2 linked regions of the Sus scrofa genome follow. The protein of the gene in region 1 purifies or fractionates together with the protein of each later gene. This does not show direct contact. Links are inferred from orthologs where the notes say so. Each region holds a gene or a part of one and is shown in the gene's direction. Other genes may lie near its edges.

Evidence for each region.
Region 2: the proteins of FLII (region 1) and LRRFIP2 purify together in Homo sapiens (affinity purification with mass spectrometry; 3 studies listed by BioGRID and IntAct, with this or other methods). This does not show direct contact. The link is inferred for Sus scrofa from reciprocal best matches to the Homo sapiens genes FLII and LRRFIP2.

Annotation. Positions count from the first base shown.
Region 1 is NC_010454.4:60,478,578-60,482,226, forward strand, and holds part of FLII (protein flightless-1 homolog), read left to right. Parts: intron 1-305; coding exon 306-386; intron 387-698; coding exon 699-784; intron 785-872; coding exon 873-1,034; intron 1,035-1,159; coding exon 1,160-1,263; intron 1,264-1,544; coding exon 1,545-1,720; intron 1,721-1,804; coding exon 1,805-1,962; intron 1,963-2,300; coding exon 2,301-2,385; intron 2,386-2,726; coding exon 2,727-2,874; intron 2,875-3,036; coding exon 3,037-3,173; intron 3,174-3,286; coding exon 3,287-3,499; intron 3,500-3,649. UniProt on the Homo sapiens protein: Is a regulator of actin polymerization, required for proper myofibril organization and regulation of the length of sarcomeric thin filaments. It also plays a role in the assembly of cardiomyocyte cell adhesion complexes.
Region 2 is NC_010455.5:21,665,924-21,669,672, forward strand, and holds the start of LRRFIP2 (leucine-rich repeat flightless-interacting protein 2), read left to right. Parts: upstream 1-972; 5' UTR 973-3,749. UniProt on the Homo sapiens protein: May function as activator of the canonical Wnt signaling pathway, in association with DVL3, upstream of CTNNB1/beta-catenin.

The DNA of each region.
Region 1 (3,649 bases):
CTCAGAGCTGCATCCCTCTCTTGCTCTTTGGAGTTGGGAGGAAGAGGGGCTTTCCCATCAGAAAAGTTCCCTGAGGTGCCCTGTGCTGGGCTCTGGGGTACATTTGGGTTGGGTTTTGAGGTGTGAATAGGAGCTTATTCGTAGGCTAGGAAGGGCTCGCCAAGCCTGGGAGTGAGAGCAAAGGCCAGCCTGGGCCAGCCCTCAGGCCTGGCCTCCAGGGGCTCCTGAGAAGCTGTCCCTCTGTGGTCTCTGCTTCTCCTGAGGGTGGCAGCCAGGAAGCATGGACTCTCATGGTTTATCCCCAGGCCATCGTGGCTCGAGCCAACAGCCTGAAGAATTCTGGAGTCCCTGACGACATCTTCAAGCTGGATGATCTCTCAGTCCTGGTCAGTGGTTACCCACCACCGGGCTCTTGTTGCCAGCCTGCCATTCAGTCCCCATCTGCCACTGTGGTTCTGGGGGCCACTCGCATCCTCTTTGTGATGGACGAACTCGAGACTTAGAGCAGGCACTGCCTTGCCCAAGGTCCCTTGGGGAGCCAGTTGGCTCCCCCGGGCCCCTTCCTCCCAGGGCCTCCCTTTGGCCCTGAAACCCCCTCCCTGCTCCCCTCTTGGTGCCCATCCTGGTCCTCGAGCTGGCAGAGGCCTGGCGGGTGGGGCCAGCCCTGACACCCCTGACCCAGCCTCACCCCGACCCAGGACCTGAGCTACAACCAGCTGACGGAGTGCCCGCGGGAGCTGGAGAATGCCAAGAACATGCTGGTGCTGAACCTCAGCCACAACAGGTGCGGGGCGGGCGGGCAGGGCTGGGGACGGGGCGGCGGTCCCGGAGGCGGGCGTGTGGCCCTGACCCAGCAGCCCTCCCGCCCGCAGCATTGAGAGCATCCCCAACCAGCTCTTCATCAACCTGACGGACCTGCTGTACCTGGACCTCGGCGAGAACCGCCTGGAGAGCCTGCCCCCCCAGATGCGACGCCTGGTGCACCTGCAGACGCTTGTGCTCAACGGCAACCCGCTGCTGCACGCCCAGCTCCGGTGGGCGCCCGCCCGGCCTCCCCGCCGAGCCTCCTTCCTAGGCGTCCCGGCCCGGGGCCGCCCTTGGCCTCATCCCTCAGGCCCACTCTGTCCCGGCCCTGGCCTGACGCCCGGTCTCCCCGCAGGCAGCTCCCGGCCCTGACGGCCCTGCAGACCCTGCACCTGCGGAACACGCAGCGCACCCAGAGCAACCTGCCCACCAGCCTGGAGGGCCTGAGCAATCTCGCAGGTTGGCCGTCCCTGGGGGACCTTCTCGGCCCCTCTTCTTTACAGAGGAAGGGAGCCGCCTGCTTCTCTGAGCGCCTCCAGAGGGAAGAGGGTGTGCCTGTGTCCCCCCAGCCCCCGGTCGCTCTCGGGACCCCTAGTGGTACTGGGCTACACAGACGAAGCCTGCTGTGAGACCCTGAGGGTCAGAGGGCTTAAGTCACGTGCCCGAGGCCCCAGAGCGTGGAGGTCGGAGGGCGAGCCCACTGCCCGGGCCCGGCTGATGCTCCCCGCCCTGCACCCCAGATGTGGATCTGTCCTGCAACGACCTGACGCGGGTGCCCGAGTGCCTGTACACCCTCCCCAGCCTGCGCCGCCTCAACCTCAGCAGCAACCAGATCACGGAGCTGTCCCTGTGCATCGATCAGTGGGTGCACGTGGAGACCCTGAACCTGTCCCGCAACCAGCTGACCTCACTGCCCGTGCGTCAGGGACCGGCGGGGGGGTGGGGGCCCGCGGGCTGCCGCTCCCGCCCCTGACCCGGCCCCTGCCTGCGCCCTCTGCAGTCGGCCATCTGCAAGCTGACCAAGCTCAAGAGGTTGTACCTGAACTCCAACAAGCTGGACTTCGACGGGCTGCCCTCGGGCATCGGCAAGCTGGCCAGCCTGGAGGAGTTTATGGCCGCCAACAACAACCTGGAGCTGATCCCCGAAAGCCTGTGCAGGTGCTGGGGCGAGGCCGGGCGGGGGAGCAGCACGGAAACCCCAGGGTCCCAGCTAGGACCCCCCAGATTGGGTTCCCCGAAGCACCCCTTGAGGGCACCCCGGTAGGCACAAGGCCAGAGCGCCCCCAGCATTTGGGACACGGTGCCACCTCCCATCCTGGAGCTCCCAGTGTCCACCAGCTTGGTCCCTGGCAGCTGCCAAGCCGACACGAGGGTGGGTGTGTTTCCGACACCCTCTCGTGCGTATCCCCGGCCTTGGGTCCTCAGAAGGCCCCTCGGGACAGGGCTGCCCTGTGGGCGTCACAGAACCTCCTGGTCACCGAGCCGCGTCCTCCCAGGTGCACGAAGCTGAGGAAGCTCGTCCTGAACAAGAACCGGCTGGTGACGCTCCCCGAGGCCGTCCACTTCCTGACGGAGATCGAGGTCGGGCGGGGGGCCGCCCCTGGGTGGGGGGGGGGCAGACCCGCAGGAGAGACAGGAGCGGCGTCCTGGGGGCGGCCACAGAGGCTCCCGAGGGGTGGCAGTGCCAGGGAGGGGGCCACATCCTGTGTTCACATCACGCTCGGCAGCATCACCTACCTCGCGAGCTGCCCGCGAGGTCGCCCTTGCCAGCCGGGGAAGCCTGCACCCGGGAGGGCCGCCGCGGAGCCGGCTGAGAGCTGAGCCCCGTGGCCCTGGTGGCTGCAAAGAGCAAGAAACGGGGCTGCCGTGGCCGGGAGGAAGGACTCGGGCTCAGCACCCACTCCGCTCGCCCCACGAGGCAGGTCCTGGACGTGCGGGAGAACCCCAGCCTGGTCATGCCACCCAAGCCCGCCGACCGCGCCGCCGAGTGGTACAACATCGACTTCTCGCTGCAAAACCAGCTGCGGCTGGCAGGCGCCTCCCCTGCCACAGTGGCTGCGGCAGCGGCGGGTGAGCCCGGGGAGGGGGCGGCTCCTCTCTGGGCCTCAGCCCCGACCTGTGCCTCGGGCAGGGTGGCCCGGGCGGGGGCATGGGGTCCCCCGTCCCTCCGCGTGCGGCTGGGGGCCCCGGGGCCGGGCCCAGCCAGGTTCAGCCGTCTGCCCCGCCCTTCAGCAGGGAGTGGGCCCAAGGACCCCCTGGCCCGCAAGATGCGGCTGCGGCGGCGCAAGGACTCGGCGCAGGACGACCAGGCCAAGCAGGTGCTGAAGGGCATGTCGGACGTGGCCCAGGAGAAGAACAGGAAGCAGGAGGTGAGCGGGCGCCCGGGCAGGAGCAGCGGCGCAAAGGCCCTGAGCCGGGCCGCGGGGGGCCAGCCCGAGGGGCTCCCCCGTCAAGCCCGCTCTCTCTGTGCCTGCGAGCCCAGGAGGGCGCGGATGCCCGGGCGCCCGGGGCCAAGGTGCGGCGCTGGGACCAGGGCCTGGAGAAGCCGCGCCTCGACTACTCCGAGTTCTTCACGGAGGACGTGGGCCAGCTGCCCGGCCTGACTATCTGGCAGATCGAGAACTTCGTGCCCGTGCTGGTGGAAGAAGCCCTCCACGGCAAGTTCTACGAGGCCGACTGCTACATCGTGCTCAAGGTGCGGCTGCGGGGCGCCCGCCATCACCGCTCCCGGCGGTGTCCTCGGGGCGGTGGGAGGGGAGGGATCGGCCAAGCCAGTGGGCCAGCGGGCCGGCGGGCAGGCCATCGGGCGGGCGAGGGAGCCTGGAGCCCGAAGGCCGGCGCCCGC
Region 2 (3,749 bases), on another chromosome or scaffold:
CATTTGAATAGCTAAGATGATTAGAAACTTTTTTTTTTTCCAATTCAATGAGGAGCTTTGCACTCTTTTTAAGGGCTGCACCCACAGCACATGGAAATTCCCAGGCTAGGGGTCGAATCAGAGCTGCAGCTGCTGGTCTACACCACAGCCACAGCAATGCGGGATCACAGCAATGTAGTCTGTGATCTCCATGACACAGCTCATGGCAACGGCAACACCGGATCCCTGAGCCACTAAGAGAGGCCAGGGTCGACCCTGCTCGCCCTAACGAATACTAGTCAGATTCATTTCCGCTGTGCCTCAACGGGAACGGAACGCCCTTCATTCTTTTTTAATAGCAATCTCTTTGAGGACATTTCAGTGGTCAGAAGATGTATGAAAACACACACATATACAGGTTGTATAAATTTACAGGTTTATTAGGGAAGGATGGCATGGAATAGTATGAGCCAAAAAAAGCAAAAATCTTGCAAATGAATCACTTTTAAGTGTGTTGACCCATAGAAGTTTTTAGTAAATCTATTATTCCATACAAGCACCCTGGCAAGTTTACTGATCTTGCCATGTGCTGATTTAGAAAGGGAGAAGAGCCAGATATAATAGAAATGAATTGTTGAAAAATGGTAAATTTTAATATAATGAAACATAAAAGGAAACTAAAAATTGAAAGATAGCAAGATGTCAATTTCTTAAAATGTATTTTAGGTATGTAAGATGCTACCAATGGGGTAAACTGGGTAAAGAGTACATAGGACCTTTCTGTAATATTTTTTAACTTCCTGTGAGTCTATAACTATCGCCCCCCCAAAAAAAATTTTTAAAAAATAGTAAATCAAGGTGAAAAAGAATCTTTGAAAAGAACTTAAAGCAAATATACATAGAGATTATTGTTTTGCTAGGTTTCTATAGTCTTGTTAAGGAGTTAACCAGAATTTTTTTTTTTTTTTTTTTTTTTTTTTTGCTTTTTAGGGCCACACCTGAGGCACATGGAAGTTCCCAGGTTAGAGGTCAAATCAGAGCTACAACTGCCAGCCTACGCCAGAGCCACAGCAATGCGGGATCTGAGCTGTCTCTGCAACCTACACCACAGCTCATGGCAATGCCAGATTCTTAACCCACTGAACAAGGCCAGGGATTGAACCTGCAACCTCATGGTTCCTAGTCAGATTCATTCCATTGCACCACAACGGGAACTCCTAGCATCCTATTTTTAATGTGTGAACTAACATTTTCCAGAGATGTGTGTAGAGTGAAACATAGTATTGTGTTTGTAAAAGTCAATTTTGTAAAAAACCACAAAAATGAGTACTTGTTCTTGAGGAAGGAAAATTTTTATTTCTTGACATCATCAAAGAAAAATGTGAGGGATCTGGTATGAAAAGAACAAAAATGTACAGATCCTACCACCTCATTCCTCAAAACTGTATAAACACTTTCAAAATTTTCCTTCGTCTATTAATCTGTCCCTAGAGCAGCCAGCCCACACAGACCTGGGGGCATTCAAATGTCAGAATATTCCATAAATATCTGGGAACACATATTTTTGGCAAAAAGAAATCATTTAACATGCAGGGAAAGACTGCTTGTGAAATAGTTCAGAGTGATACATTCAGTCAGGATCCCCTTGCAATGACAAAATTAGAGCATCATTCTTATAACATTCTTGGGAACATTCAAAAGACCTATGACATCATGAACTCTTAAAACAAGAGGATTTTTTTTTAATTGAAGTACAGTTGATTTACAATGCTGTGTTAAATTCTTCTGTACAGCGAAGTGATTCAGATATATATGTATATGTATGTATACATTCTTTTTAAAATATTCTTTTCCATTATGGTTTACCATAAGATATTGAATATAGTTTCCTGTGCTATACAGTAGAACCTTATTCTTTATCCCTTCTATACATAAGAGCTTACATCTGCTAACCCTACACTCCCACTCCATCCTTCCCCCTAGAATTGTTTTTTTGGGTGCCAAATGGATGGCAAGTATCCTATAGTGAGAGATGTAAAAACAGAGAAGTTCCAGGAGTTCCCCTATGGCTCAGTGGGTTAAGGATCAGTGTTGCCACTGCAATGGCCCTGGTTACAGCTGTGGCGCATGTTTGATCCCTGGCCTGGGAACTTCTGCACGCTGAGAGTGGGGCCAACAAAACACAACAAAATGAAACACAGAAGTCCTAAAACTGCCTCTTACCACTCTACCTTCAAAAAAATTTATATCTATATCTATATCTATGTATCTTTCTTTTTATGGCCATACCTGCAACATATGGAGGGAGGTTCCCAAGCTAGGGGTCAAATCTGAGCTGCAGCTGCCAGGCTACGTACACCATAGCCACAGCCACACCAGATGTGACCTACATGGCTGCTTGGTTACATCCGAGGCCAGAGATAGAACCTGCATCCTCATGGACACGGTGTAGGGTTCTTAACCCACTGAGCCACAACAGCAACTCCATATTTTCATAATAAAATGATAAAAGTGACATAGGTTACTTCATTTACATTTCCCTCTTAGATATTAAAGTACAGCAACATGGCTTAAAGTAAAAGGGGAATTAGAGCCAGAGAGACTAGAGTTCAAATTCTCTTTCAGACACTAGTTTTGTTACCTTAAGTGTGTCATAATTTCTCTAAATCTCAAAGTCTTTGTTACTAAAATGGGTATAATAACCCCCATGGCTCAAGCTTGGTCCTGGTTACTAAAAGGGATAATATACTGAAGTGCTTAGTAAGATGCTGTGCAAATAGTAGGTACTCAATAAGTGTGACCTTTCTCCCAGTTTTCCAAGAACACATAGCAAAACATTTCCTTCTCTTTTAGTTTGGGATGAGCCAAAACAGTGACTAAGGAGTAAATTTTTAAAAAGCAAGTGAATCTACACCTAATATAATCTAAACAAACTTTCCATTAAGTATGCAGTTATGTAACTGAAATTTAATAAACATTATTGGATGCAGTGGCATTATTCAGAAACCTGAATAGGTCCTCTTCTGCAAGTCTGCCTTTTATTTTATCTTTGACTGATTTAGCAAAATATATCATTAATCCCTTTATTCAGATTATAACATAGTATGATCCCTTGAGAAGATTAAGGCTCTCTTGATGTCAGATAAAAACCGTAGTTTCTTTTCTTTTTTTCTTTTTAGGGCCACATCTGACACATATGGAGGTTCCCAGGCTAGAGGTGGAATCAGAGCTGTAGCTGCTGGCCTAAGCCACAGCAACGCAGAAAGGCCAGATCTGAACCGTTGACCGAGACCTACACCACAGCTCATGGCAACTCAGGATCCTTAACCCAATGAGCGAGGCCAGGGATCGAACCTATGTCCTCATGGATGCTAGTCAGATTCGTTTCCGCTGAGCTAAGACGGGAACTGCCCCAAACCGTAGTTTCAATGTTTGCTCGTGTGTCTAAGAAAAATAGTGACATGGAAAGAGAAACAGTGAGAAATTAAAGGCTGCTTTTCAAGGCTGATGGTATGGTAATTCTCTTGTGATGAAGACACCTGTTGATGCCTCACTACCTAGAGACCTTAAGTACCATAATTCATGCCTTGAACCTTGAAGTTCCATACTCTAGTTCTCAAGGACTCTAAAGGGTGACCAAGCCTTCTGAAATCGCCAAAGGGGGCAACAGAGAAACAGCCCTTAGAAGGCATTAGAGCCAGGTTCTTAGCATTGAACTGTGGGCTTATTCAGGGGGTTCTAGAACCCACAGTCCCTGGATGTCAAGTTGT